Oryctolagus cuniculus: one gene and its partners. The protein of the gene in region 1 purifies or fractionates together with the protein of each later gene. This does not show direct contact. Links are inferred from orthologs where the notes say so. Each region holds a gene or a part of one and is shown in the gene's direction. Other genes may lie near its edges.

Region 1 (7,684 bases):
TAAAAACTTTTTTCAGCCGTAATTGAGCCCCTTAATTTCCAACGTTCACCCTCGGAGCGGGACACGGGCGGTAACCATGAGGACCGATGCCAGCCTGCCGCTGGGTCTTAAATCTGCGAATTTAATAACTCCAAAACCCTTCCTCCCGTCCGTCAGTCACGATACGTTGAACCATCACCTGGAGACGCTCAGGTCACCGCCAGGCACCTGGCCACTGTCCCCTGTGCTACGAGGAAACCTGAGGCTGCAGCTCACTGCCCCTCCCGTGACCACCGCCCAGGGCAGAGCGCTGGGGCCGAGAGGAGGACCAGAAGTGCCCAGGGGACGACCTGCCAAGAGCTGCATCCGGGTGCTCACTGGCCAGAAACACGGCGGTCCCTCCAAGTCACCGCCAGTCTGAGGGTCCCTCCAAGTCACCGCCAGTCTGAGGGTCCCTCCAAGTCTCCAGTCTGAGGGTCGTGCATGGACACCTGCCCACCTGATCTACACCCGTACCCAGCCCCAAACCCCAGCCAGCAACCTGTCAGAATCAACGAGCCCCCAGCTCTGTCCGTCTGCCTTCCCCTGTCTCCCTGCCCTGCCAGTCCCTGCCATGAGCCTGCCCACGCCTGAGGGTCGGCTGCCACCTGGGCACACAAGGAGGGCAGCCCCACTGGCCACGAGGATGGCGGCCCCCTGCCTGCAGCGGCTGCCCTGCCACCCAGACCCAACCGTCACTGGCCACGTACGCAGCTCAAAGCCCTTGTCCTTTGAGGCCATTCTCCAGCCCTGGGTCCTGCAGCCTCCATCTGGAACTCTTTCTCACCAGCGTCTGAACTTGGCCTCTCGGCTGCAGGGCTGTGACCTTGACACAGGTCCTAAGGGCGTGCTGTGTGCTTTCTGCTTGCCCACGGAGCAAAGGCTGCACACACAGTTCTGCTGTAGACAACCTGCCCAGGCTAGCAGAAGGTGGGGCAACACGCCCCCCCCCCCCAGTGGGGCCCAGGCCATCCTGTCCCGGGTGTGAGGCGGGGCTGGGGCGGCCTCCACTGCCCCCACTCCCCACCCTCTCCCTCCCACACAGCCCCCGGAAGGCTCACCCGTGAGGGCTGCCCTGGGTTTCTGGCTCATCGGCCAGCAGGGGGGGGAGCCCCAGGTCAGAGCCTCCCTGGCCCGGCGGCCCCTCTGCAGGAGGTCAGAGTCCCAGCCGTGGACCCCTCTGGGCCAGGCACCTTTCCCCCCTCAGCCTTTGTAATCACTGTTGACAGACTGCAACTTAGCGGCTTCTCCTACAGGTGCAGGGCTGTAGACATCACTGCAAGGTGTCCAACCCGCTTGGTTGGGGCCGGGGAAGGCGTGTGTCACAGGTTGGGAGGGCTTCTTTTATAGAGTCAGGACATGGGGGTTAAAGGTCAAAGCAGGCCTGCTCCTCTCTGTTGACCTTTAGGCACCTGCGGGGACCTTGACAAGGACTCTCCTTCCCCGGAAGTGTGGGTAGGGCCTCTCCATTCCCTCCTTGTGCATCCCAAAGCTGCCATCCCGACCTTCTGATGACAGGAAAGGGGGCGACGATGAGTCTCTGGCTACTTCCTGCTGACTGGGGACGATGGGGCACTCTTGGCTGGCATGGGGCGCTGTCTCCTGGGTGGGGAGCTGAGTATATCCCCGTAGCAGCATTTGGTTGACCGCCTGGTTGCTGAAGGCCTTGGTTCGTTCCATTGTCACCTGCTGTAAACACTTACACAGACACTGGTCTGCAAGTCAGGGTGAGAACAGCAACCAATGATCCTAAGAGTGGCACTAACCAGGTAATGAAAGGATTTCACAGAGGAGAGGAATGGGAGGGGTCACTGGACCCTTGTGAGGACGGTTTGATGGACGTGGTTTAAATCTGATCCCAGCCGAGACCGGGAGAAAGGCCACTCAGCTTTTGCAGGTAGCGGGTTTGTCTGTAGGGAAATTCTGAATAATCATGCAGATTAGGTGGAGGAGAGGACCATCAGTGCACACAGGTCGGGAGCAGAGTAGAGGCTGTGATCACAAAGGAAGGAGACCCACGTGGGCAGACAGGGCCTGGTACAGAGGACAGTCACTGTCAGAGGAGCTGAGAGAGGTGCTGGCTCCGCCAAACAGAACCTGACAGAGGGGCCTGATAACACTCAGGTGGGCTTCAGGCCTTGTAAGTTAGGAGGCCAGACCGGTCTGTCTCTTCACAGGGTGCCTCCCAAGGGGGGTGTGCACCTCCCTGGGGAAGGCACCCTGTCGGCTTCCATTACCCAGCTGGCCTGGGAGGAAGCTGGCGTCTCCAACAGGAAGTTTAGTTCTCCCGCAGCGTTGCTGACCCAACCTCAGCAGCGGTGGTCACCCTGGAAGCTGGGCTGAGTGAGGGCCTTTCAGCTTGGAGCCAGCAAGGCTGCGGCTCTGACCTGGGCGTCCCGACTCCACTTCCAGCGACCCAGCTCCTGGCTGGCAGGGCTGGCGGGCTCTCCACAGGCTCACTCTGCTGAGGCCCGGCTCACCTCCCCGAAAGCCCCTGCAGTGGACTGGCCCGCTGGGTCTCCGAGGGCAGATCCCTGCACGGGGCTACATTTCACGGCCGGCCACCCAGCTTCACGTTTCTCACTTGTTGACAGACCAACCTAGAGGCTTCCGTGCAGGCGCAGGGCTGCACAGACACCACCAAGACGGAAGCTTGAAGCCTTATCATCACCCCAGACCCACTACCAGTCACCCCCGCCCCACCCGTCCCCGGCCCAGCCGGCTGCTTCCTCTCCAGGGACGCGCCCGCTGGGGCATCTCACCCCGCACACCAGGGGCGCGTTCCGAGGACAGAGGCGCCACCGGCCCACCGCCATCCCCTCCCCCGCCTCTCACCGCTCGCCGACCCCACCCGCCCTGAGCTCGCAGGGCCGGCGCGTGGGCGCCCCAAGTCCAGCGTCACCCACGCGGTGCCACCACGCCAACCCCTGCGCTCGGGTTTGGTCCGTGAGGAGCCGGGGAGGGGCGCGCAGACCGCGGCTACCGCCCTTCCAAGCGCACCGAGCCATGGGACTCGCCGGGCACCTGCGACCCCGAGGCTGGCGGGCGCGCGTCTCAGGGTCAGGCCCGGCCAGGTCGGGGTGGGTGGGGGTCTGCGCGGCGCCCCGCGGAGATCCCGCCTAGCAAACCTGAGCGGACACGCACAGCGTGAGGGCGGGTCGGGCTGCGGGGAGACGGCGACACCCATGACACGCCGACCCCTGCGGCCGCCTCTCCGGCTTCGGGACCTGCGACCCCCGCGGGTGCCTCCAGCCCCCGCACCCGTGTCCCCGCCGCAATCCGCCATCGCACCCCTCGCGGAGATGGCGCAGCTCGGGGAGCAACAGAGAGGGAAGCCCTCCATTTCCCTCCATCGCCTCGCCCTGCCTCAGACCAGCGGCCGGGCCTTTAAACGCGGCCCGGGCGCCCCCGGTCCTGCGCAAGGGCAAATCTGCACGTACAGGGCCTAAACTCCACGGCCGTCCCGCTCCCGGGCGGGACCCGGGGCCCGGCGGCGCCCGCCTCGAGCCTCGACCGGGGACGGCGCGGCCCCGTGACCCCCGCACACACGTGCCCGTGCTGTCCCAGCCACTTCCGCTATCGAACGTCCCTCACCTTCCTGTCCTGCGCACTGGGCGACCTCGGGCGGACACAAGCTCCGCCCTTTCCGCCGGCAGCCGCGCGCCCCGGAAGTGGTATCCCGCGACGGCTGGCTGGTCCTCCCAACCACCGAGAGGGCCGCCCAGAGCGCCGGCGCGCTCTCCCTCGCCGCCTCCTACCCCTGCGGCAGCGGCGCCCCGGGCCGTGCCGGGACCACTGTGCGCGTGCGCAGGAGTGCTGGGCCGCGGCGACGGCGTGGTGCGTCATCGGGGTGCGACGCCCGAGGGACTGTGCGGGGTTTGCCTGGCTGGAAGGTGCGGCGGCGAGACCGGGCGGGAAGATGCCAGTGGCGGTGATGGCAGAAAGCGCCTTCAGCTTCAAAAAGCTACTGGATCAGTGCGAGAACCAGGAGCTCGAGGTAGCCGCGTGCAGCGCGCTGGGAGGAGCTCCGGGGCCGCCCCGGCCTCCGGGCGGCGCCGGTTTCCAGGGTAACGGGGCCGGGGCGCGCGGAGAGCGGGCGCGGGACGCGGGCCCGGGCGCCCCGCACTGCTCGGGCCGGGCGGTTGCTCGGCCGCTGCCTGGACGCGTGGGGCAGCCTCTCCTGCCGGCCTCGGGGCCCGGGCCGCGGGCCGTGGGGGCCGCCCCGGGCGCTCGGTGTCTGGGGAAGCCAGCGCGGGGTGCGTGACCCGCGGACACGCACACGCGTGGAGGGAGCGGTGCCCGGCGGGCCGTGCTCCGTGCGGGCCTGGGGAAGGCGCCCCGCAGCATGCCCCGGAGCGGCAGAGCCGGGCGGGGCTCGGGAGTAGGCCGAGCTGTGTCTGCAGCCGCCGGCGACTGACGTTTCAGCTTTTTGTTGTTATTTTTAAATGTACCCGGAAGGCACCGTTAGAGGTCTTCCGTCCCCGGCTTCACTGCCCAAGTGGCCGCCAGGGCCCGGGCTGGGCCAGGCTGGAGCCGGGGGTCTCCTCCGCGTCTCCCACGCGGGTGCAGGGGCCCCGGGACTCGGGCCATCTCCCAGGCCACAGCAGGGCGCAGCATCGGAGCTGGAGCGGCCGGGTCTCGAACCTGCGCCCATCGGGCCGCCCGTTTGATCCGCTGAGCTGCAGCCCCACCCCGGAAGGTTTCGGGTTTTTTTCTGGCGTGGGTAAGAAAGGAGGCTGTGCTCTTGCGTTTCTGGCGTTCTAGGCTCCTGGAGGAATCGCGACGCCCCCGGTGTACGGCCAGCTGCTGGCTTTGTATCTGCTGCATAACGACATGTGAGTACCTTTAGCGACCCGCGGCGGCCGCCCCGGTTCCCGGGAGCCCCGAGCGCTCTGCTGCGGCCTCGCTGCGGCCGTTCCTGTGGCGTCCAGCGGGTGGTGGCCGGCGGCCTGTAGCTCCTCCTAAGGAGGACAGCGGGTTCCTAGGGAGACGCAGACGGGCGGGCGGCTGCTTCCCTCCCGGGTGCCCCGGGGCCGGGCTGGTCCAGACCACAGCTGGGAGCCCACTCCCACGAGCCGGCCGCCGTGTGCGCTGGCAGGAAGCAGAGGCCGGAGCCGCAGTCGCGGTGAGGCCGGCGGTCTGGGGCCCTGGGGCAGGCGCTGACCCCGCCCGCGGGCTGCCGCCGTCCATTTCCCGCGGAGCCTTCGGAGAACCCTCAGGTCCGAAAAGCAGCGCGGAGCCTGGGAAAGTGCGGGCGCGTGACCTTTTTAAAGGATTGTGCTCTGACCTGGGCTCAGCCGAGGGCCCCTGTTGTCGGCAGGCCCAGAGAAGCTGCCCGGAGGCCGAGGGCCAGCAGGGGTTTGCTGCCCACAGCCGAGAGCTCCTGGGAGCCGTCTCGTAGGGGGGACCCGTGTCTGCTCGCTGGAGGGCAGAACGCCCCCGGGTGGCTGTCGTTCTGTGACCCCAGGGGCGCCTGACGGTTTTCCTCTAAACTTCTCCGAGCCCTTTCTGTCCTGTCGTCCTAGAAGCTGAGCTGGGCTCCCCGCGTCCGGCGTGTGAGTGGCCCGCTTCGCTTCCTGTGGTCCCATCGTAGGGGTGTCCTGGTCCGGGTTTCTCCCCGGATCCCCCTGCTGTGGAGGTTCTGGGGGCAGGGCCCTGTGTGGGGCTGTGAGGAGGACCAAGCCCGGGAGCCCGGGCGTCTTCCCTCCGGGGAGGCAGGACCTGGGAAGCGCGTTCTTATCTGGGTGAATTATTTGGGGAGTTCTGTGTAAATCTTTGTATTTTTGGTGTTGGCTTAATTTAGCATCTGAATCATTCCTTCAGAAATTCACTAAAAATGGCAGAATGTGACGTTGATGAACTATTTCCTGTCTCTTCGTCTGGAGAACTACTCGTAATTCCCCAGAACAAGTTCACATAAAATATGTTTGCTCTGTACTGTGCATAGAGTATTTTGATTAACTCCTGTCTGTTCTCATTAGGACCTAGTAATTTCCAACATTTTTACTGACCGCTCTTTGCGCTGGTTTGCATTAGGAATAACGCGAGATACCTCTGGAAGAGAATACCGCCTGCCATAAAGTCCGTAAGTGTCCTTGCCCTGCGCTGTGTTGCTTCCACGTGGTGATAACGTTCTCTGACCGGGGAATCCCGTAAAGCGCTGTTCCCGTCCCGTGTCACTGGGGTTAGAGGAGAGAACCGACCTCCGGCGCTGCAGTCAGAAACCAGAACTTCCCCGGGATGGCGGAGGGGTCGGCTCGGCTCCCGGTCATTCCAGCCACGCCGCTGAGCCGGGCCACGCGAAGGGCTGGGCGGTGGCTGCAGGGGGGCGGGGGGTTCAACGGAGCTGTGCAGGTTCCTGAAGCAGGAGTGGCGTGGAGACTGGTGGTACACTGCTGTTCTGAAATGGTCATTCGCAGCGCTGGGACTGTCTATCCAGTTAGGAGAGTGGGCTTCTCGTTTTGGGTGGAGAAGCAAGTGAAAGCTGCTTCCGAAGTGGGCCGCAGTGGTCCTTGGGTTTCGGGTGGGTCAGTGCCCGCGTGAGTGGTCTCCACGTGGGACCAAGAGTCCACCTCAGGTTGTGCTCAGCTCTCAGCCGGGCACCGGATTAGTGCTTTAACTCCCATCCTTTCCCATACCTGCTGTGAAGTGAGGTGAAAGAGGGTCCCCGTGGTGGAGGCGTGAGGGTGGTGGCCTCCTGTGGTGGCCTGTGCTGACCTTGGCTCTTGCTCGCGTCCCCAGGGCATCGTGTTATGTGTGTGGGGACTGCAAACAGGGCACCTTTCGAATCAGCTGCCCGAGATACTTAATCCCCAGGCTTAATCCCGAGCATGTTTGGATTACTTTCTCAGCCCTTAATCTGTTGTGGTAATAAACACTTACAGCGAATGAATAAAGAAATTTTGCGTTACTGCTCATGCTGCTTAAAAACCTGTTTGAATGTGGTTGGACTGAAAAAGTGATTGCATCTCTTAAAAGGAACGTGAGATTTTGTGTTGATGATGCAGCTAACACGTTGTACGTCTTTCTGACTTTCGCTTTAAGACACAGTTGTGGCCGGCGCCACGGCTCACTAGGCTAATCCTCCGCCTTGCGGCGCCGGCACACCGGGTTCTAGTCCCGGTCAGGGCGCCGGATTCTGCCCCGGTTGCCCCTCTTCCAGGCCAGCTCTCTGCTGTGGAGGATGGCCCAAGTGCTTGGGCCCTGCACCCCATGGGAGACCAGGAGAAGTACCTGGCTCCTGCCATCGGATCAGCACGGGGCACCTGCCACAGCACGTGGCCATGGCGGCCATTGGAGGGTGAACCAACGGCAAAGGAAGACCTTTCTCTCTGTCTCTCTCTCTCACTGTCCACTCTGCCTGTCAAGAAAAAAAAAAAAAAAAGACGCAGTTGTTTCCAGGATGAGCACTGTCAAAGGCTGTGACGTGTGTTCCAGGCGAACTCTGAGCTCGGGGGGATCTGGTCGGTGGGACAGAGGATCTGGCAGAGGGACTTCCCCGGGATCTACACGACCATCAGCGCTCACCAGTGGTCCGAGACGGTGCAGCCCATCATGGAGGCACTGAGAGGTGCGTTTCTTTGTGTTGGACGTTGCAGCAGGCCCTTCCTGAGGCTGCAGGGCGGGAGGCGGGTGGGGCGCTGGTGAGCGCAGGTGAGCGGCAGCT
Region 2 (7,235 bases), on another chromosome or scaffold:
GGAGCCTGGAATTAAAGCCAGGCACTGCAGAGTGGAAATGCAGGCATCTCGGCTGTCATGTTACCCTCTGGGCTGAGGATCATTTTATTTGTGAGCTTTAGGAGATCTTTTATATGTTCAGAATATTACCTCTGAATCAAATATACAATTCTCGAGCCTTTTTTAGTTTCCCCCCTTCCATTCTGGATCTTTTCCATTGATGCCTGATTGATTTTTCCTATTTAACCAAACCTGGCATTATTGGAATGAACCCACTTGGTCATAGTGTGTTTATCCTTTTTAAATGTCACTGGATTGAATTTGCTGATATTTTATATAGGACATCTGTATTCTCTTCATATGTAAGAGTGGCCAGTACTTTGATATGTCCTTGTCAGATCTGGGTAACAAGGTTATACTGACATCATACACTTGGGAATTATGCCCTGTTTTCTAGTCTGTGGAGAGTTTAAGAGTGGTATCTCGGGGCCAGCGATGTGGCACAGCGTGTTAAAGCCGCCGCCTGCAGTGCCGGCATCCCATATGGGTGCTGGTTCAAGTTCCAGCTGCTCCTCTTCCAATCCAGCTCTTTGCTATGGCCTGGGAATGCAGTACAAGATGGCCCAAGTCCTTGGGCCCCTGTACCCACGTGGGAGACCCAGAGAAGGCTCCTGGTTCCTGGCTTCGGATCAGCGCAGCTCCAGCTGTTGTGGCCATCTGGGGAGTGAACCAGCGGATGGAAGACCTCTCTCTCTGTCTCTACCTCTCTCTGTAACTCTTTCAAATAAATAAAATAAATCTTAAAAAAAAAAAAAAAACTCGTTAAAAAAAAAAAGAGTGGTATCTCTTCCTCTTTTTCATCTTCTTCCTCCTCCCTTTCCTTCCTGAACAGTCGAAACCAGAAGTCATTAAATGGTAGACTCAAGCAGGACCAGTATTTACATAGTGGGGAGGCCTCGGTGGTCTGGTGGCAGCCGAGACGGACATCAGTGCGGGTGGTGGCAGGTGGCAGCTCAGCAAAGATTCAGGGCTCCCAGACTGGGTGACAGGTAGAGGGAAGGTGGTGGTGGACCGGCATGGAGTAGTGGAGGCTGATCCAGCGGCGAGAACAGATTGTCTTACAAGCAGCAAGTCTTGGTAGGCTGTGAGCACTGATGCCGATGGTGTTAGAGGGATGGAACCTGTTGACGTGGTTGTTGGATAGGAGACCTTGCCCAGGTCTATGAGGCCAGGGTAGCATAAAGAGGAGTGAAGGAGCTCTGAGAGAGTGAAGTGTTTAACAAAACAGTGTGTGGGATATAATAAGTACTTACTGTGGCCCAGCCATTGGTAGTGTGGTTGTTTTCGTCTTCCTTGTCTGCAAAAGCAGGAAGGGGGACGGATCTGACTCTTGCCCTCCTTATCCTGCCGCCAGTGCGAGCTGAAGCTCTTCCAGAAAGAGCGCGTGGGAGCGGCACCCTGGCACAGCCGTGCCGCACTGCGCTGCCTCAGCAACCAGTGGCAGGGGCTCCGAGGCCGCACACTATGCACGCATTTCTTTCTTTCTTTCTTTCTTTTCTTCAGATTTTATTTTTTATTTATTTGAAAGGCAGAGTTACAGAGAGAGGGGAGACAGATCCTTCCATTTGCTGGCTCCCTCCCCAAATGGCCACGATGGCCAGGGCTGGGCCAGGTGGAAGCCAGGAGCCAGTAGCTTCTCCCAGGTGTCCACATGGGTGCAGGGGCCCAGGCACTTGGGCCATCCTCTGCCGCTTCCCTGGGCGCATTAGCAGGGAGCTGGATCAGAAATAGAGCAGCCGGGTCTCGAACCGGCGTCCAGATGGGATGCCAGTGTTGCAGGCGGAGGCTCACCGTGCTATGCCACAACACCGACCCTGGGACTTGTCTGTGATATTCTGTGCAGGCAGCTCTAGTGTTGGGGAACAGATCAGTGGGTGCCAGAGGTTTTGGGGTGAGGGGGAGAGTGTGACTACAGTGGGAAAGCAGAGCACTAGGGAGTTTTGGGGGTGATAGTGTGTTCTACATCCTGATTTTGGTGTTGGTTATTCAAATCTGTACATGGGTTAAAATTCATAGATCTGTATACCAAAAGTAGTATTTATTGTGTGTGAATTTTAAAAAGCACACTGTGGAGACAGCACCTTGGGGTCTGGGTGTCGGGACCGACTGGCGTTTGTGTCAAAGCACAGTCCACGTGCCCAGGCCTGGTTCCTCGCTTCCGGCCCCTCATCACTCACTGGCTTTTTCCTTCCTCGTGTTAGATTGGAGCTGGAGGGAGCATCACTGGGCTGAAGTTTAACCTTCTCAATACCAACCAGTTTTTCGCCTCCTCAATGGAGGGAACAACTAGGCTGCAAGACTTTACAGGCAACACCCTCCGAGTTTTTACCAGCTCAGACACCTGCAAGTGAGTAGCCGAACTAGCATGGCAAGGGCTTCCAGCTCCAGGTGTAGTCCTGGCGAGAGCATCCTGACCCCGCTTCTGTTACCTGCACCTGGCCAGGAGGAACGAGAAGGCGTTCGCCACTTTCCACCCTTCCCTCCCTTTTTCAAACTCTGGCTACTCTGACTGCCGTCCAGGTGGGCTCCTGCTTTGGGAAGGTGTTCTGGAGCCTCGGCTCTTCTCGGCTTTTCTCTAAGTCACACCTGTGTTAGGCTCGACCTTGGCTCTCACGAGACAAGTCAACGTGGTGGTGGCCCAGGGTGGAGCAGGCACTTAGGACTTCAGACGCAATTCCTTCTGTTCGTTGGCGGGTGAGGAACTCACCAGTTCCTTGGTGGAAGCTTCAGTGGATCCAGTAGTGTCCAAAAAGTGCTCCGGGCTCCCCAAGAGCAAGGGGCTGGAGGAATTAAAAATGCAGGTCCCTCCGCGTTCTAGCCAGAGACCCAAGTCTACCTGCTCCCTAAGGAGTTAGGTGAGGGGCGGGGTCTGACAGCTAGCACTGGGTTTCCTGGGCTGCCCCACAGGGACAGGTGACTGGCTAGACTCAGCTCCATGTTGGTCTTCCACAAGAAACCCTCTCGCTTAAAGATCCTGAAGGGGAACGACCAAAAGGCAGACTAGCGTGGCTCTGAGGGTTTAGGGGAACAGATGTGCATCTGGGCTGCAGGTCGTGTGTGCTTTACCCTAACTGCTCAGAAGGGGGCAGACATTTCTTTCCGGCCAGCTCTGAGTAGCACAGCGGGGCAGTTTCTGCTTGGCGTGTCTTCTCCTTTAGCCCCAAGGTGGAGAGGGAAGGCAGAGAAAGGAGACCGAGGTTCTAGCAGCTGTGGGGCCCAGCTAGCCAGGAGGCTTGCCTTAGGGCCCGAGGTCTCACTGCGTCTGGGACTCTCCCTGGCTCAGGACGCTAGGCCCGGCAGAGACTGGACACATTTTGGAGCCCCCCTCACCCTCATTCCCTCTGTTTGGCTGGTAGACAAGACTGAGTGTTCTTCCTGGGAATCCATGGTAAGACAGATACTTCATTCATTCAACAAATATTTATTGAGCGCCTGCCGCGGGTTAGGCCCAGGAGCTGCAGCAGTGAGTTAAAGGACCTGTCTCTGGCCCCAGGAATCTCACAGTACAGTCTCTCCTTCCAGCGTGTGGTTTTGCAGCCTGGACGTGTCTGCCAGAAGCCGAGTGGTGGTCACAGGAGACAACATGGGGCATGTGTTCCTGCTGAACATGGACGGTAAAGAGGTGCGTGCTCTGAGCCCTGGGCGCGCCTTCCCTCCCCTCCCCCCACCTCAGTTCTCTGTCCCCAGCTGAGCCGGGCTCTCCTCTGCAGCTCTGGAATCTCCGAATGCACAAAAAGAAAGTGACCCATGTGGCTCTGAACCCGAGCTGCGATTGGTTACTGGCCACAGCCTCCGTAGACCAAACAGTGAAAATCTGGGACCTGCGCCAGGTTAGAGGGAAAGCCAGCTTCCTCTGCTCGCTGCCACACAAGCATCCTGTCAACTCAGGTGTGAACCCCACCTGTCTCAACACTCCGGGGCCTCCTGGGAAGTTTGGAAGCTGCTAGGCCGACCCTTTCTCCCCAGTGTCTCAGATCTCCTGTGGGCTACTGAGTTTCTAGAATTCTTCTGCTCACAGCCCTGGTTCACCTCTGCCCTTTCCCCCCATCTCAGAGGTGTCAGAGGGAGGGCGCCCCCGCGAGAAGCGGCCCGACGGGGGCGGGGCTTCCGGTTTCTGCAGCTTAGGTGCTTGTCACTTCCCCAGCCTGCTTCAGTCCTGACGGAGCCCGGCTCCTGACCACGGATCAGAAGAATGAGCTCCGGATTTACTCTGCCTCCCAGTGGGACTGCCCCGTGGGCCTCATCCTGCATCCTCACCGGCACTTCCAGCACCTCACTCCCATCAAGGTGAGTGACAGAGTGACGAGAACGCGCAGAGGGAGTGGAGAGCGTGGGGACGGACCAGGTCTGCCCAAGGTGGGGAGGGGGCAGGCGTGTGAGCCTGCAGCTCCAGACCTCTTCTTGCCCCAGCAGACAGTCTCTCAGCCTTTCGGCGCTCTCTGTTCCTTTTATGCCACGTTTGCAAGTCCAGTTGGTGGGGCCGTCTTTGTCTCTCTGAGAAGCTGTCTCCCTCAGGAGTTTCAGCCCAGCCCTGACCTGTGAGCATGTGCAGAATGCTGAGCTTCTGCCCTGCCCTCTCGGTTTCAGTTACCCGTGTGTGTGGGTCCACAAACTAACCTTCACCTTCTTAGTTTGTCTTGCAGGTTTAGGTGGCTTCTAATAATAGAAATAAGTCCCTTCCTTTCCCATTTTGGATCTCCGTTTCCTCATCTGTAAAAAGGGAATAATAGTATCTAACTGATAGGGTTGTTGTGAGGATGAATCAGTGTACTTAAAGCACTTGGCACCATGCCTAGCACCGGGTGAGTACTCAGAAAATGATGACCGCTTAGTACCGCACGTACCTCAAATCATATCCAAGCACCTACTAAGGAATCCCAAGAATCCTTCCTCAGCTGGTGTTCTTGTTAATCCATCTGTCCTGATCTGCCGCCTCGTATCCAGCCAGGCCAACCCGCCGTCTGTGATTAGTGGTACCATTTCTTCCTTCCTGCTAACCACATCTTTGCTCCTTCAAAACTTCCTTGAGAAATTGTATCAGGAAAATCCCATCCAATTTGTGATTTCTGGATGAGTGGGGTAGGCTGGGCTACTGGAGTTCCTTTCCTTTTTCAGTCTTGAGTGATTTTACACACAGCTCCTGATTATCCACGCTGACGGAGGGGTGGCAGTGGGGTTACTTCAGATTTCTGTCCTAAGTAGTTCTGATTACCACAGGCCGTTCACTTTGTTGTAGGCCTACCTGTTAACGCCTAGGCCAGGTTGATGTTGAAAGCGGCAGGAAGTGCAGGAGAGAAGGCCTCAAGGTGTCCAGGGGCCAGGGAGGCCAGCGGGGGATTAGAAGTCTGCAGTTGCACGTGGGTCGCAGCGCCTCTGTTGCGGTGTTGGCTTGTTAGCAGCAAAGAATGGTTTTGATGTCCCTCGAGGGCGTTCTGTGTTTATTCCCCTGACTAGCCTCTCCGTCTTACAGGCAAGCTGGCACCCTCGGTACAACCTCATTGTCGTGGGTCGGTACCCAGATCCTAATTTCAAAAGTTGCGCTCCCTACGAACTAAGGACGATTGACATGTTTGACGGAGGCTCAGGGAAGATGATGTGTCAGCTCTATGACCCAGAATCTTCTGGGATCGTTTCGGTGAGACTCGGGCCCTCCAATACTGATGGGAGGAAGCAAGCATTCGATCTACCTCATTACTGACCCCAGTGACCCGGAGTTAGTCCTCTGTGCCCCGCCCTGTGCCTCCTGATTCCTTCACCCTGCTCATGCTGATACTCTTGTCTTTGCAGCTTAACGAGTTCAATCCCATGGGGGACACACTGGCCTCCACAATGGGTAAGTAGAAGCAGGACAGACCAGCCACGCCCGACCCTCCCTGCTATGCCAGGTTCGGTGCAGAATAACCAGCTGGGCCCTGTCCATTTACCCCAGCGCTGCAGCCAGCACAGACCATTGGGAGACAGTCTCTTTGGCCTAGGCCTCCCTCCCTCTTGTTTTGTCTTGGTCATGGTAGTGCCTGGATGCTGTCCTGTCCCCTAGTATTTACTCACTGGACCCTAGGTTCTCAGGGCCAGCCCCAAGCCCTCAGAGATGGATAACGGAAGGCGTTCTCACTTCTCTTAGGTTATCACATTCTCGTTTGGAGCCAGGAAGAAGCTGGGGCACGGAAATGAGTGACGTTAAAGGTGTGGGGCAAGCATCCGCTTGGAGCCTACAAACGGGGACAAGCCTGGCGGGAAGAGGCGGCACTTTGTCAAAGGGCCAAAAGGATCCGAATCTGCGGGTTGGGGCAGGGGCACTGTGGGACTGGCACACAGGCGTGTTACTGTACTTGGAGAGCTGGTGACCCAGCCCTCCGAGGGGCTCTGTCTGGCCGGAGCCCAGCGACCTTTCTCCTCTCTGGTGTGTGGCGGGTGAGTGATCAGGGAGTGCTGTTTGATTTGTGCTCACCGTTGGCGGCCAATAAAACCATTCCCACCTGAGCTGTCGAGAAAATCTTCCAGCACTGACCTGGTCAGAGGGCTCCTGGGGTCCAGGAATGAAGAAAAGGCACAGAACCAGCGCTCAAAGTCCACAGCTTTCATTCTCCGGGAGCTGCCTCCGCGGGTCCAGCTCGCAGCCTGCACTCACCTCAGGCCCCTGGAGACCCCAGCCCAGCTGAGGGAGAACACTTCTTGATTCTGACGGTCCACTGCCCACCCACCGCCCGCACCCTCCCAAGTACAGTCCCAGCACCCTTTGATCTGCTTGCGCCCAAGGGTACCAGGAACACTGTCTGACTAATGGTGGCTTCAACCCGACAAAGGGAAACCTGTTTAGGTCAGCTGCTTCCTTGGTAGCTGATGAGTGTACCCTCAGCACTGAGAGGCAAGACTGTCCTCTGAGCCATCTGCCAAAGATTCCAGGCTGGAGGGGAGCGAGCGGGGCGGATCAAGCACCAACTCCTTCCGGTTTTTATCCCAGGCCCTGCGTGAAACCTTAGTAGTTGTCTATGTCTCAGGTCCTTAGGAAGTACAGAAGAGGCAGGTCCTGCTTGGAGAAAGCCAATGTCCAGCACAGCATTTGGTAAACATCAGGCGTGTGAGTGCTGAGTGACAGATGCCATGGCTGAGCCAAGCTCCACTTGCTCATCTGGGCTGGGGTGATCACAGGGAGTTCCGACCCAGTCTCCTGTCCATGGGCCGGGGAGCAGCAAAGT
Region 3 (7,235 bases), on another chromosome or scaffold:
GAGCTCATTGAACGGGTGTCAGGAAAGCCGCTCCTCATTGGCACTGATGTGTCCCTAGCACGACTGCAGAAGGCAGATGTTGTCGCCCAGTCAAGGATCTCCTTCCCTGAGAAAGAGCTACTTCTGTTGATACGAAACCATCTCATTTCTAAAGGGCTTGGAGAAACAGCGACGGTGCTGACGAAAGAGGCCGACCTGCCCATGACTGCTGCCTCCCATTCTTCTGCCTTCACCCCAGTAACTGCTGCTGCTTCACCTGTCTCTCTTCCCCGAACCCCTCGAATTGCCAATGGCATTGCAACTCGACTGGGCAGCCATGCTGCCGTGGGTGCCTCTGCCCCCTCTGCCCCCGCTGTTCATCCTCAGCCACGGCCCCCTCAGGGTTCACTAGCTTTGCCTGGCCCATCTTATGCAGGCAACTCCCCTTTGATTGGTAGGATCAGTTTTATCAGAGAGAGGCCATCACCTTGCAATGGCAGGAAAATCAGAGTGTTGCGGCAAAAGTCGGACCATGGCGCCTACAGCCAAAGCCCAGCCATAAAAAAGCAGCTGGACAGACATCTTCCTTCCCCGCCTACGCTGGACAGTATCATCACAGAGTTTCTTAGAGAGCAACATGCTCGATGCAAGAACCCAGTTGCTACTTGCCCACCTTTCTCTCTCTTTACTCCTCACCAGTGTCCTGAGCCAAAACAGAGGCGGCAAGCGCCAATAAACTTTACCTCACGGCTAAACCGCAGGGCATCATTTCCAAAGTATGGAGGGGTAGATGGTGGATGCTTTGATAGGCACCTTATCTTTAGCAGGTAAGAAGAGGCCCTCTCCCATCCTGGGAATTGGAATTATTTAAATTATTTAAATCAGAGTATTGGGGTGATGTCTGCATAGAGTGATTAGTCCAGTCAGCCATTTCCTGGTCTGAAATGCCATTCCTTGTCACATCAGTACATAAGCAGTGTGTGTCACCTTTTGTTTACCAGAGTCCTTATGTCATTAGTGGCAATACTTGAATAATGTGTTACCACTGGAGAGCCCATGCTCCCTAACCAGGATCTTAGCTCGTTTTGTGCTGGTCCAAAATGCCTTCTGATGTGAATTTTTTAAAATACTAATTTTCTTTTTATTTGAAAAGCAGACAGAAACAGATCCATCTATTGGTTTAGTCCTCAAATGCCTGCAACAGCGGGGGCTGGGCCAGACCGAAGTCAGGAGCCAGGAGCTCAATCTTGATCTCACTTGTTGGGGCAGCGATCTGTAGAAAGAAGTTGAATTGGAATCAAAGTCAGGACTTCAGCCAGGCATTCTGATACGGAATGTGAGCATCCTGAACAGCATGTTACCAGCTGCATCAGATGCCTCCTTGAACATTGTGATTCCTTAAAAGTCTCATGGAAAGGGATCACAGTTTTAAACGTGGGATTTTTTTTTTTTTTTAAGATTTATTTATTTATTTGAAAGAGTTACAGAGAGGCAGAGGTAGTGAGAGTTCTTCTATCCATTGGTTCACTTCTCAAATGGCCCCAGTTGGAGCTGGGCTGATCTAGAGCCAGGAGCTTCTTCCAGGTCTCTCATGCAGGTGCAGAGGCCCAAGGAGTTGGGCCATCTTCTGCTTTCCCAGGCCGCAGCAGAGAGCTGGATTGGCAATGGAGCAGCTGGGACTTGAACCAGCATCTATATGGGATGCTGGCACTGGAGGCGGTGACTTTATCCACTGTGCTGGCCCCTAAATGTGGGAATTTTTGTTATTTAAATTTGTAAGTGGAGGTCCTTTTCTCTCATTTAAAATTGAAAATGAACCAGTGAAGGTTAGTGTGATATTTTAAAGAACTTATTTCACACCTATTCAAACCTAAGTCCTTCTAGCAAGTTTTCTTTTTGAGTCCCTGCACATTCTATGTCTCTGATTCTCTTTTGTTTTGCTTAGATTCCGTCCTATTTCAGTGTTCCGGGAAGCCAATGAAGATGAGAGTGGCTTCACCTGCTGTGCGTTCTCAGCACGGGAGAGGTTCCTGATGCTTGGCACCTGCACAGGGCAGCTGAAGCTCTATAATGTGTTTAGTGGACAGGAGGAGGCCAGTTACAACTGTCACAACTCGGCTATCACACACCTTGAACCTTCTAGGGTGAGGGTCCCTTCCTCCTGGATGCTCTCGTTTCTAAGATGGGTTGGTGAACTCCTCTTTTATTGGAGTTTCTTGTGAGGAATCCTTACCTCTAAAGTCTAGGTGAAATCGACTGGACTCCAAGGGAAACTGAGGAGTGTGCCGTATCAAGAGAACCGGTTATCTTTGATGTCTTTCCAAGTTTTCTTCCTCTTTTCTTTGGAGCCATTATATTTTTGTTACGAGCTCAGAAGGATTTAATGTGCTGTTAAATTTATTTTCTAGTACACTGCAGGTACATGTATTTAAATCTTAGTGACTTCTGATTATTTCTTGGCTCCTGAAAGTTGTTCTTTTTCTCTTTAATCCAGTAATGCTTTTATGTAAATATTTTAAAAATACTAATGGTAGATAGCAACATCTACATGTATATAAACCCACGTTTACCCTCCTTGGGCCTCCTTCTTTCAGGACGGGTCCTTGCTGCTGACATCTGCTACTTGGAGCCAGCCTTTGTCTGCACTTTGGGGAATGAAATCAGTATTTGATATGAAGTATGTATCTGCTTTTGTAGTCTGGTGTTCCTGTGTTTTGTTTATATAATTTATACTCCATCTATTTGTTGGACTAGAGGCCTTTTGGGAAGTAGGATGCTGTAAGTTATTGTTAACTTCTTCATTTTAGGCTTATGTTTTAATAAAATTTTATCTTTTAATTTCTAGATGCTCCTGGAAAGTATATGCTTGCCCATTTGGGCAGCAGATCCTTCACTTAACTCCAAATGGCCATCTTTATACTTTGCCAAGTTCACATGGGCCATTTACATTCTAATCTTTCGTATTTCAAAGGCACATGTGCCCTATGGTCATTTTTCCAACCAAGGAATCCCTGTCAGGGTATGCTTAGACACACTGCTGGAGGGAATGTTTTTAATCTCACTGTACAGGCGTTTCCTCTGTGGGAGCCAAGGCATTAAGAGGCTGCAGTGTGTGCAGGAGTCTGTCTTGAACATCTTGACCTCTCAGTGCTTTTGTCCGTAGGCATTCCTTCACAGAAGACCACTATGTTGAGTTCAGTAAGCACTCTCAGGATCGAGTCATAGGCACGAAGGGAGACATTGCCCACGTAAGTGCTGGAGAAACCTCTGCTTTCACGCTCACTTTGCTCATTTGTTAATTCAGAAATATTCTGGACTGAATGTGAGGACTTAGTGGGTATCTAGAAATTATAGTGATAGTCCTTCCAGTTAAACTCTAGAAGTGTATTAAAGTAGTTTTAAGTTATATAGGAAAAATGAAATAATTGACTCTGAACTTAATCTTGCAGCTTGAGGAAGATGCTGTTAGCACAGCAGATATCTTTGAGTTCTTACCAAGTTTTAGGTGAGATAAAATCCCTGCATTTTTGGGCTCATGTTAGATGGTTGGTTGCTGCAGAGGAAAAGAAAGAAGCAGTGTAAGAGGGAAGAAATGCTTGATAGTGTGGTCAGGGACTGTTTTGTTAGCTTCACTGATTGGATACTGTTTAAGCAGAGCCCTTGAAGGACTTGTGACTGTCGTGCAGGTGTCATTCTAAGGCAGAGGGAGTAGCCAGGAAACAGCCTTGTTTGGGAGCTGTGAGGCAGAAGAGGGTAAGAGCTAAGGTCAGTGATGGGTACATATCCCGTAGCATCGTGGAGGAGGTAGTTGGGACCTTTAGCTTTTCTTCTGAGGAAGGTGAAGACAACTGGAGGGTGGCAGAAGATATATGACTGGATATGAAAACCTAAAGCATGATTTGTTTCTGTGAGAGAAGCAAAAGTAGACCTTCCAGGCAGGAGGATATTGTATCATGAATAATGGGGCATGATCCAGACAGACATGCAGAGGCCTTGAAAAATGATGGGCCGTAGTCCTGAGGTTTTGGATATGTGAAGTTTGAGATTCTATTAGACATTAACTGGGAATTGAATGTACAGATGGGGAGTTGAGAAGTCTGGGATGGGGGTTAAAATTAGGAGAGTAGTGCTTATATCAATATTTATAGCTGTGAACCTGGATGAGATTAAGGGGGCTAGAGGAGAGGTGTAGGGACAGCACTTGCATGTGCCAGTGTTTAGAAGTTGCCAAATAAGGAGGATCTTAGGGAGGAGACCAGAGAGAGTGACCAGAAAGTCAAAAGGAAACCCCAGGAAAAAGACCTAAAAGCCGAGGGAAGACTGCGTTTGGAGGAATGATTGATCAGTTGAGTCAGAAATTGCTGATGAGTTGAATATAAGAATGAGAACTGAGTGGGAGCGTTGAACAACATAGAGGTTATTATATAGTTACAACTATATTTAGTTATACATAATAGTTCTGGGGCCTGGGCTGTGGTACGGTGGGTTCGGCTGCTTCTTGGGAGGCCAGCATCCCATATCAGAGTAGCAGTTCAACTCCTAGCTGCTCTGCTTCCCATTTAGCTTCCTACTAATATGCCTGGGAAGGCAGCAGTGATGGCCCAAATATTGGGACCCCTGTCACTCATTAGACCAGGGTGGAGTTCTGGCTTCAGCTTGGCCCAGACCTGGCTGTTGTGGCCATTGGGGCAGTAAACCAACGGATAGAAGATCATTCTCTCCCCCTTTGTCTCTCTTGCTCTGCCTTTCAAATAAGTACATAAATCTTTAAAATATAGGCTGTACACTGATCAGACAAAATCTTGGTTAGAGTGGTTTCATAGGAGGAGTGAAATAGACACACTGAGTATAGTTAGTTCCTTTAAATTATTTTGTTGGGATACAAAGCAGAGAAGTAGAGTAATAAATAGCTTGAGGGGAGAATTTAGCATGGTAAAGGGAGGATTTCCCTCAACTTTTCATTTGAAAATGTTACAACATACTAAAATCATATGGAAAGAATGGTACATGTGTTCACTACCTAGATTCATCACTTTAATATTTTTCCATACTTTCTCTATGAATGTGTTTTTCTCAATTTGAAAGTGAGTTACAAGCATCATTACAGAACATGCATCATCTTTTTTTTTAATATTTTTATTTATTTGAAAGGCAGAGTTACAGAGAGGCAAAGACAGAGAGAGAAGCTTTCCATCTGCTGGTTCATTCCCCAAATGGCTGCAACAGCTGGAGCTGGACCGATCCAAAGCCAAGAGCTAGGAGCTTCTTCCAGGTCACCCATGCGTGTGCAGGGGCCCAAGCACTTGGGCTTTCTTCCACTGCTTTCCCAGGCCATATCAGAGACCTGGATCAGAAGTGGAGCAGCCGGGATTTGAACTGGTGCCCATATGGGTTGCCAGCACTGTAGGCGGCGGTCTTACCCGCTATGCCACAGCGCCGGTCCCTGAACATGTATCTTCTAACAATAAAACTATTTAATTACATAGTCACATATCCAAATTAAGAAAATTAGAGTAGTTCTCAAATATCATCTAATATCCAGTCCATGCCCAGTTTTTCCAGGTGTTCTTGATGTGTTTGATTTCATATATGTTTTTTTTTTTTTTCCTGAACTAGGATCCAGCCAAGATTCACATATTGCATTTGGTTATTATGTTTAATGTTTTAAAAGCCAAGAACCCTTTCTCCAGTTCTCATGGCACTGACTTTTGAAGAGACCAGGCTAGTTGTCTTGTCCCATGATCTGGATGTTTGTTTCCTTGTGGTGTTTCCTTATTTGTTTCCAAATCAAAAGAGTTTTTTTTTTTTTTTTTTTTTTTTTTTTTTTTTTAAAGAGATAGGAAATATTATAGCACACTTGTAAACTGATGGGAAAGATCTGGTCTCTGCATGAGTTGTGCATTGTAGCCTTTGGAAACTTAGTAGGTGGACTAAAATAGGTATATTGGGAGGTTTTAAGAAGAAAAGAGTATTTCTTAGATGTTTTTCTTTATAAAGTGACCCTTAGAGAGTATTCTGTGGGTAATCATTGATTGATCCATATGGAGAATTTCTCAGTTTTTATCTTAGAAACATTTTTCTGTTTCTTGAAAAGGGAAAAGGGAAGAAGAGTTTTCTTATCTTTAATGCAGTTTCACTTTTCATTTTCCTATCATAGGAAGGGGGTATTCAAGCCTTGAATGGGAACCAAAGTACTTGAACTTTGCTTGGATTGGATCTTCCACTTTCCAGTTACTTTACACTATTAGAGCTTTTGTAATTTCAGTGGGAAGGATTTAGAATACATGAGAGAGATATTTAACAGTTTCTCTTTAAATTTGTCAGTGGATGGTTTGGTCTGATTTTTCTCTTCCCACCCCTTCTTCTCTAAAGATTTATGATATTCAGATTGGCAACAAGCTGTTGACTCTGTTTAACCCAGATCTTGCTAACAACTACAAGAGGAACTGTGCCACCTTTAATCCTACAGATGATCTTGTCTTAAATGATGGCGTCCTCTGGGATGTCCGCTCTGCACAGGCCATCCACAAGTTTGACAAGTTCAACATGAACATCAGTGGCGTTTTTCATCCGAATGGGCTGGAAGTCATCATTAATACTGAGATTGTATCCTTTACACTAATTTCTTATTTTCCGTTTTGTTTTATGGTTTGCGATGTAGATACAATTTCTCTTTCCACCGATACTTGGGTAAAGTGTCCACACTGGAAGTAACATGATGCCTGTCCTTTGGTTGGAGTGTTAGGGAATCTCCAGCACACACATGGTTATGCTGGAAATTCCTGATGACTTTCACTAGTATATTTTCCGTGTATTGGGAAGAGTCGCCATAGGTTCTTGCCTCCTTGTCTCCAAATATTGGATGGAGTTTTTTTCTGTCCTCAGAAGGGTTTTGTGTTTGCTATATAGAAATCACTTCCTAGGGGCCAGCACAGGAACCCAGAGGATTAAAGCCCGGCCTGTAGCGCTGGCATCCCATGTGGGCGCTGATTTGAGTCCTGGCTGCTCCACTTCCCATCCAGCTCTCTGCTATGGCCTGAGAAAGCAGTGGAAGATGGTCCAAGTCCTTGGGCCCCTGCACCTGGGTGGGAGACCTGGAAGAAGCTCCTGGCTCCTGGCTTTGGATCTGCTCAGCTCTGGCTGTTGCAATCATAGTTGCAATCTCTCTGTAACTCTTTCAAATAAATAAAATAAATCTTAAAAACAACAAAAAAATTAATTACTAGCCATAAGAGGGAAAGGAAAGTGCTACTATT
Region 4 (7,698 bases), on another chromosome or scaffold:
ATCAGCGCGGTGTGCCGACCGTGGTGGCCATTGGAGGGTGAACCAATGGAAAAGGAAGACCTTTCTCTCTGTCTCTCTCTCTCACTGTCCACTCTGCCTGTCACAAAAACAAAAACAAAATTGCATGCTCTTACAAAAATTTACATGTTGCAAATTATATGTATGTATATATATATGTATATATATATGTGTGTGTGTGTATATATATATATACTTGCAAAGCCGAGAGAGGCAGAAAGGGACAGACATCTTCCAGTTATGGTTCGTTCTCTAAATGCCTGCAGCACCTGGGGCTGGGCCAGGCTGAATCTAGGAGCCCGGAAATCAATCCTGGTCTCCGACATGAGTGGCAGGGACGCAGTCACTCAGGCCATCACTAGCTTTTTCACTACACAGCAGCAGGAAGTGGGACTCAGAGTGGAGCTGAGACTTGAACCCGGCACCGGGATGCAGGATGCAGGTGTCTCAAGTGGTGGCCAACGGCTGCCCAATTAAAACAACTCAGTGAGAAGAATGGCCCTGGGCTCACATTTTTGCCAGTCAGTATCAGTAAATATTTGGCTTAACAGAAAGTAACTGGATTTTCCATGACTGAAGCATACGAAGAAACCCAGGACTTAGAGGGAGAATTTGTTTTTGAATAACTATGGGCATTCTTTTTTGATGGTAGTTTCTATGTTAGTTGCAGTAATGAATATGAAGCCCTATTAGTGAACTCTGTTATTTTATATTATTTTATATTTGTTATTTGTATTAATTTATGTGTGCCTATAAATGCACATATACAAGGAGTCATCAAAAAGTTCATGGCAGGGACCAGTGCTTGGTGTTCTGAGTAAAGCCGCTCCCTGCGGCTCCAGCACCCATATGGGTGCTGGTTCGAGTCCCAGCTGCTCTACTTCCAATCCAGCTCTCTGCAATGCCTCGGAAAGCAGTGGAAGATGGGCCAACTGCTTGGGCCCCTGCGCCCATGTGGGAGTCCTGGGAGAAGCTCCTGGCTCCTGGCTCCAGACTGGCAGAGTTTAGGCTGTTGCAACAGTGAACCAGTGGATGGAAGATTCCCCCCCTGTCCCATAACTCTGCCTTTCACACAAATAAATAAATCTTTTTAAAAATAGTTTATGGAAAATACATACATACAGATCTCAAAAAATTTTGCACCAAAAGAAAATTATTTTTTCCACAAATTTTCTGAAGTACCCTTGCATATCCATTCATTGGTCTCTCTCTCTCCTTTATTTATTTATTTATTTTTTGAGATCTATTTCTTTACTTGAAAAGCAGGGTTGCAAAGAGAAGGAGAGACAGAGGGAGAAAAATCTTTCCACCCACTGGTTCACTCCCCAAATGGCCACAATGGCTGGGCCTGGGAGCCTGGAGCTCCATCCAGGTCTCCCACGCGGGCGCAGGGGCCCAAGCACTTGGGCCGTCGTCCACTGCTTTCCCAGGTGCATTAGCAGGGAGCCGGATACAGGATGCTGGTGCTGCTGGCAGCAGCTCACCCATGACGCTGGCCCGGTGGTCCATCTGGTATCCAGCGACGTTTGATTTGGTCACCTCCTGCCTGGCTGTTTGGAAAACACCGGTGCACCAAGTCCTGCAGACCTTCCACGGGGCTCGTATTCCATCACACAACATGCAAAAGTCGGCACGTGTGTTTCTAGCACGACAGACTCATCAGGGAAGCTGTCAAACCCAACATGGCGAGTTCACAGGAGAGCTGGACTTTGTCCCTGGCGAGGAACCCCGAGGGCAGACGCGCCCACCGCCTTGGTCCTCGACACAGCTCCAGGAAGGGGCGCACGCGAGGGTCCACGCTGCTTTTTAAAACATGAATTATTTATCTGAAAGAGTTAACAGGGAGAGAGAGGAAGACACAGGAAGGAGGAGAAAGGGAGACATGGGGGGGAGACAGAGAGAGAGAGAGAGAGAGAGACAGACAGACAGACAGACAGACGGGTCTTCCACCTGCTGGTCCACTCCCCGACGGCTAGGGTGAGCCAGGAGCAGCCGACAAGGACCTGCACCTGCGTGGGAGACCCGGAAGGAGCTCCTGGCTTCAGCCTGGTCCAGCTCTGGCCGTTGGGGCCATCTGGGGAGTGAACCAGCAGATGGGAGACCTCTCTCTGTCACTGTGCTTCCCAAATAAATCATATTTTTTATAAAAAAAAAAAAAAGAGGGAGGCAGAGTGAGCGCGACAAGCGCCGGCGTCCCGCCCACCACGGCTCTCGGGGCGTCCAGGGCAGGGGCGGGAGCGCTGGGCGCAGGTGCCGGGCGCAGGTCCGTCCCGCGCGTGGGGGCCGCCGGCGACTTTTGTCCCCGCGCGGCTGTGCGTGGAGGAGTCGCGGATGGAGGCGCCCGCGCTTTCGGGGTTCCGCGACCGGGCCCGACGGGGCTGGGGCCGGTGACCGCGGGCAGGGGCGGGGTGGAGGCCGCGTGCGAGGAAAACGCGCTGACAGCCCACCCACACGCGCGGGTCCGTCACGCGCGGCTCTCGCAGCACTCACGCCGCAGCTCGGGCTCCGCGGCCTTCGCGCCCGCGCCAGGCTGGCCCCCCGCGCTTGCCGTACCGCGGGCCGTACCATCGCTCCCGCGAGGGGGGTTCGGGAGCAGCGGAAGAAGGCGGCCGCAGGGCGTGTGTGAGTGTAGGGGGCGAAGCCGGGCGCCCCGGAGGACGCGCGTTCCGCCGATCCCGCCGCCGGCCCGGCCTTCTCCCCACCGCCCCCGGCCCGCCCGGCAGCGGCGGCGGCGGCGGCCTCGGGCTTCGCTGCGTTTCCCGGCCGCGGCAGGTGAGCGGCGGCGCGCGGGCTCCCGGGCTCGGCTCCCCACCCCCGCCCTCGGGCGCCGGTGGCGGCGGCCGGCCGGGGAGGCGGCCTGGGCGCCCAGTAATGGCAGCGCGGTGAGCGGGGGGCGCGAGCTGACAGCCGCCGCCGCCGCCCGCGTCCTCGCCGGGGCTCCGTCCCGCCGGCGGCCCCGGCGCCGCGCCCTGCGTGTGCAGACGGGAGCTGCCGGCGCCGGGACGCCTCCCCTGCCGGTAACCGGGCGGCGGCGGGGAGTTGGGGGCCGGGTGGGGCTCGCGCGGGGAGGGGGCGGCCTGGCCGGGACCGCGGCGCCCGGGCGCGCTGGCCGTGGCGGGGCCTCGGCGGCGGGCCTCGGCCCCCGGAGCGGCGGCCCGGTGCTCCCCGGGAGCGGGAGGCCGGCGTGCGCGCGGCCCGCGCGGCTCCCGGGGGGCGCCTCAGCCGGGGCCTGCTGCCGGGGTCTGGGGGAGAAGCCCCGCGGGTCCGGCCCGCCGCACCTGCTGCTCGCCCCGCGCGGGGACGCGTGCGAGGGGCACGGGCTCGCGTCCGCGGGCTGTGGGGGCTCTTCCCGCGGGCCCGCCCGGCGCAGCGCCCCGACCCCCGACTGCGCAGCGGGCGCGGGGGAGCAGCCTGGAGTCCGTGGAGTGTTTCTGAGGGCACGGACACGAGTGGCTCCGCCTGGCCTCCCCTGCCCCCTCCAGGGCTCCGCAGCCCTCCCGGAGGGGTGCACGGTGACTGCACCCGGGTTCTGAGGTACCCCCACTTTTCCCTTTTCTTTTCAGGTGCTGTTTCTTGGTAGCAACACGTCTGTACCGTGCCTGCACATAATGTGTGAAAAATACCCTTTCTGGTCCTGTTTGAGTATTTAGGGGTTCCCATGCACCCGGAACACCACTCTGCAGGCTCTGGTCACTTTTCATTGCTTTATTAGTGGGAGTAGACTGAATCTCGCTCGCTCGCTCTCTCTCTCTCTATCTCTATATATATATACATTTTTTTTTCTTACCCTTGCCAGTGGGTCGCTAATCAGACATCCTGGACCTAATTTGAAGTGAATTTTGCCTTCAGTACAGGTAACGAAGGTAACACCGGGTTAGTGCTGCTGGGCGATGGGCTCGTTGGGGGTCGTGCGGCAGGCTGGAGGCCGGAGGTGTGCGGCCTCCCGGCTGGGCAGAGTCGGCCTAAGACAGGGTAAGGGCAGCCCCAGGAGTGGAGGAGGAGTGGCCGCAGCCGCTGGGCAGCGGAGGCCTCGCTAAGGGGACGTCTGACCGGGGCCTGAGAAGGACCCTCTGTGCTCCGGGGAGGAGTGGCCCTGGAAACCGCTCCAGGCCGCCGGCCCCCGTGGGAGCCTCAGCAGCATCGGACGGGGACACCCATTTGGGTGCCGGCTGCTCCACTTGTGATCCAGCTCCCTGCTGGTGGCGCCTGGCTGGGCAGCGGTGGATGGCCCAAGTGCTTAGGCCCCGGCACCCACATGGGAGGCCGGAATGGGGTTCCTGACTCCTGGCTTTGGCCTGGCCCAGCCCTGCCTGTTGTGGCCATTGGGGAGTGAACCAACCAGCGCTGGGAGATTCTCTCTCCCCCTCCCTCCCCCTCCCTCCCCCTCCCCCCCTCTCCCTCCCTCTCCCTCCCTCTCTGTCTCTCACTCTGCATTTGGAACAAATGAATAAAAATGTTTAGGTTATAGCCAGAGGGCAGGTCATGTGAGTCCTTATCTCACTGTCAAGGAGTTTGGCTTTTATTGTTAAAGCACACCAAAGACCTGTTGAAACTTTTTATTTTTACTTTTAAGATTTACTGATTTGGGGCTGGCAAAGCTGCCGCCCGCAGTGCTGGTATCTCTCACGGGTGCTGGTTCAAGTCCCGGCTTCTCCACTTGTGACCCAGCTCTCTGCTGTGGCCTGGGAAAGCAGTAGAAGATGGCCCAAGCCCTTGGGCCCCTGCACCCACGTGGGAGACCTGGAAGAAGCTCCTGGCTCCTGGCTTCAGATCAGCACAGCTCCGGTGTTGTGGCCAATTGGAGAGTGAACCAGCAGATGGAAGATCTCTCTCTCTCTCTCTGTAACTCTTTCAAATAAATAAATAAATCTTAAAAAGTTTTACTGATTTATTTGAAAGCAAGAGTTACTGAGAGAGATCTTCCCTCTGCTGATTCACTCCTCAAATGGCCGCACAAGCCAGGGCTGGGCCAGGCCAAAGCTGGGAGCACAGAACCCCTCCAGGGCTCCCACGTGGGTGGCAGGGGCCCAAGCCCTTGGACCATCATCCACTGCCTCCCAGGACACGAACCGGCAGCGCCCATATGGGATGCCGGCCTTGCAAGGGGCTGTTTAACCCGCTGAGCCACAGCGCTGGCCCCAGAGCTTTTTAAAAAGCTAGGCTGACGGGAGATTGGAGAAGGGCAGAGAAGCAGTGGGAAGGGCGTGGCCGGAGAGTGTTGAGAGATTGGCCGCGAAGACGCACTGGACTTGCGGTTTGCAGGAGGGTGCGGTGCGGTGGGGACAGAGGTGGTTTCCGGGTCTTTGGCTTCAGCGGAAGGATGGGGATGCGGGGATGGGGAAGAGCCGAGGGAAGCCGCTTGGTAGGTGGGGTGGAGTTGGAGCGCCTGTGCCGGCCTGGGCCTAGCTGGGCAGGTGGAGGTGAGACGCGGGCAGCTGGAGTCTACTTCGTCCCGCAGAAGTTCTGCAGGCACCAGCTGCAGAGCAGGCGGCGTGCACCCAGTAGTGAGAGACAGACCTGGAGCTCCTGGAGCTGAGTTCTGATGCAGAGAGCGGGGTGGGGCAGGGCCATCAGCATGTGCCTGTGGGAGTGCTTCTGTTTTGAATAAAAGCTGTGTTCTTGTGGCTGAAAGTGTAAACTGTGCACAAGCGTGTGGAGTTCAACTCTGCCTCCACTTGTCCCCGTCAGTCAGTTTTCCTTGGAGCTGGTCAGTGTTGGCTGTTTCTTGGATATTCTTCCAAAGATATATTTTGTGCACCTGTAAGCAAGTAGTGCGTGTATTACTGGCCCCTGTGTCACGTGCTTTGACACCCGGTGGCCTTGTGGAGTCCTAAATAGTATTTAAAACTCATGAGATGGGGTGAGCACAGCCGAAGGGCTGAGGAAAGGAAAGAACCGAGGGACACTGGCGAGGACACCTTCTGGGAGCTTGTGAGTGCAGATGGCGGTTGTCTGCAGAGCTGGTTCCTTTCGGGAGACTTTTAGGGAAGTTTGCACTGCTTCTGCCGTGTCCCCCTTACCTGCCGAGGCCCCGTGCGTCCTGCAATGTGGTGATGAAGAGCAGTGTTTCTGGGTCTGGACTGTTCAGTTCAGTTTCTGTAAATTGATGACAGGGTCATCCCTTAAATCCTAACCTCATGAGTGTGCAAGACGGGCTAGTGTTACCTGCTGGAAAAAGCAGAAATTGGACTGTCACCCTGGGTCGGACAGCACGTCCCTGAGACTTATGTGTGACTGAAGGCTGCTGTCAGCAGGGTGGCCCTAGAGGATGGCTGCGGCGTGTCTGCTGGGCTGGGGCCTGAACAGCCATGTGTCTGTTCCACTGCAGATGGGAGTCGTTTGTGTGGCCGAGGCCGGCGGTGGACTCGCCCCGGACACTGCTTTGTGTGCGGCTTGCCCTGGGGAAGCCTTGCTGGCACTGTTAGCCGTGTGGTTCCTCTGGTCCTCCGGAGTTCTGAGACAGCGAGTGGTGTCTCCAGGTTATGTCAGCTCTGCAAGGACTTTGGCCTGTGATGGAACCCTGTCTTTTTTTGGAGTCTGTTTTCTCTAAGTTGCTTTAATATTGAAGAAGTAAAAACACTGATGTTGTGTTTCCTGCTGAGTTTATAATCCTTCTGTATTGGTTGACATTTTAACTTTGAGTTAGCTATCTTTAGCCAGGTGCTTCTTTTTATATACATATATATAATATAAGTTTTATTTTTGTCTGTTTATTTGGAAGGGAGAGTTAGAGAGGGAGAGACAGAGCGAACTTCCATCTGCTGATTCAACTCCCCAAATGGCCTCAAAGGCTGGGGCTGGACCTGGCGGAAGCCAGGAGCCTGGAGCTCCATGTGGGTCTCCCACTGGGGCCGTCTTCTGCTGCTCTCCCAGGTGCATTCGCAGGGAGCTGGATCAGAAGTGCAGCAGCCAGGACTCGAACCAGCGCTCACATGGGATGCTGACGCTGCACGTGGTGGCTCAACCTGCTGTGCCACGGCACTAGTCCTGGTCAGGTACTTAGTGTGTAAATTGATCCAGCTGTTTTTTGAGATTGTTCCCGATTCAAGAAATGCTTTGTTCAGTGTGATTTTGTTACTTTTAGCGTTACCTTTCTTTTGTTCTGAGAGTAGAGCAAGCAGCTGGTTTCTGAGTCGGAGAAGTAGTCGGTTAGAAAATGCCTGATGGTACTTCCTGCAGCAGTAGACACAGTTACCCCACACTCACGCAGACTACCATGGAAACTGTGTAGTGTCAAGCTCCGTAGCCTGTTCGTGCACTGCTGTATCAGAGGAGTTTCTCTTACATACTCGTAGCGTTGTATGGTGTTACGGGGTCACTGCTGTTACTCAGTCATTGCATGTGGCCTAATTACGTGTGCCAGGATTTTCACTGCTCAGGCTGACCGTGATTTTTCTTTGTCTTATCAGCAGTAAGCTTCTTTTTTTTTTTTTTTTTTTTTTGACAGGCAGAGTGGACAGTGAGAGAGAGAGACAGAGAGAGAAAGGTCTTCCTTTTGCCGCTGGTTCACCCTCCAATGGCCGCCGCTGCAGCCGGCGCACCGCGCTGATCCTGGCAGGAGCCAGGAGCCAGGTGCTTTTCCTGGTCTCCCATGGGGTGCAGGGCCCAAGCACCTGGGCCATCCTCCACTGCACTCCCTGGCCATAGCAGAGAGCTGGCCTGGAAGAGGGGCAACCGGGA

The links.
Region 2: the proteins of COPS8 (region 1) and DDB2 purify together in Homo sapiens (affinity purification with mass spectrometry; 6 studies listed by BioGRID and IntAct, counting the BioPlex papers as one, with this or other methods). This does not show direct contact. The link is inferred for Oryctolagus cuniculus from reciprocal best matches to the Homo sapiens genes COPS8 and DDB2.
Region 3: the proteins of COPS8 (region 1) and DCAF1 purify together in Homo sapiens (affinity purification with mass spectrometry; 4 studies listed by BioGRID and IntAct, counting the BioPlex papers as one, with this or other methods). This does not show direct contact. The link is inferred for Oryctolagus cuniculus from reciprocal best matches to the Homo sapiens genes COPS8 and DCAF1.
Region 4: the proteins of COPS8 (region 1) and CUL2 purify together in Homo sapiens (affinity purification with mass spectrometry; 4 studies listed by BioGRID and IntAct, counting the BioPlex papers as one, with this or other methods). This does not show direct contact. The link is inferred for Oryctolagus cuniculus from reciprocal best matches to the Homo sapiens genes COPS8 and CUL2.

What each region holds. Positions count from the first base shown.
Region 1 is NC_091434.1:3,081,577-3,089,260, reverse strand, and holds the start of COPS8 (COP9 signalosome complex subunit 8), read left to right. Parts: upstream 1-3,694; 5' UTR 3,695-3,937; coding exon 3,938-4,015; intron 4,016-4,023; exon of another isoform or gene 4,024-4,274; intron 4,275-4,782; coding exon 4,783-4,853; intron 4,854-6,054; coding exon 6,055-6,103; intron 6,104-7,455; coding exon 7,456-7,588; intron 7,589-7,684. UniProt on the Homo sapiens protein: Component of the COP9 signalosome complex (CSN), a complex involved in various cellular and developmental processes.
Region 2 is NC_091432.1:18,713,844-18,721,078, reverse strand, and holds the end of DDB2 (DNA damage-binding protein 2), read left to right. Parts: intron 1-2,240; coding exon 2,241-2,386; intron 2,387-3,561; coding exon 3,562-3,661; intron 3,662-3,749; coding exon 3,750-3,927; intron 3,928-4,183; coding exon 4,184-4,326; intron 4,327-5,509; coding exon 5,510-5,674; intron 5,675-5,826; coding exon 5,827-5,872; intron 5,873-6,160; coding exon 6,161-6,210; 3' UTR 6,211-6,519; downstream 6,520-7,235.
Region 3 is NC_091441.1:98,128,150-98,135,384, forward strand, and holds part of DCAF1 (DDB1- and CUL4-associated factor 1), read left to right. Parts: coding exon 1-806; intron 807-1,924; coding exon 1,925-2,123; intron 2,124-2,573; coding exon 2,574-2,656; intron 2,657-3,142; coding exon 3,143-3,227; intron 3,228-6,351; coding exon 6,352-6,585; intron 6,586-7,235. UniProt on the Homo sapiens protein: Acts both as a substrate recognition component of E3 ubiquitin-protein ligase complexes and as an atypical serine/threonine-protein kinase, playing key roles in various processes such as cell cycle, telomerase regulation and histone modification.
Region 4 is NC_091444.1:107,426,168-107,433,865, forward strand, and holds the start of CUL2 (cullin-2), read left to right. Parts: upstream 1-2,649; 5' UTR 2,650-2,790; intron 2,791-2,845; exon of another isoform or gene 2,846-3,035; intron 3,036-7,439; exon of another isoform or gene 7,440-7,698.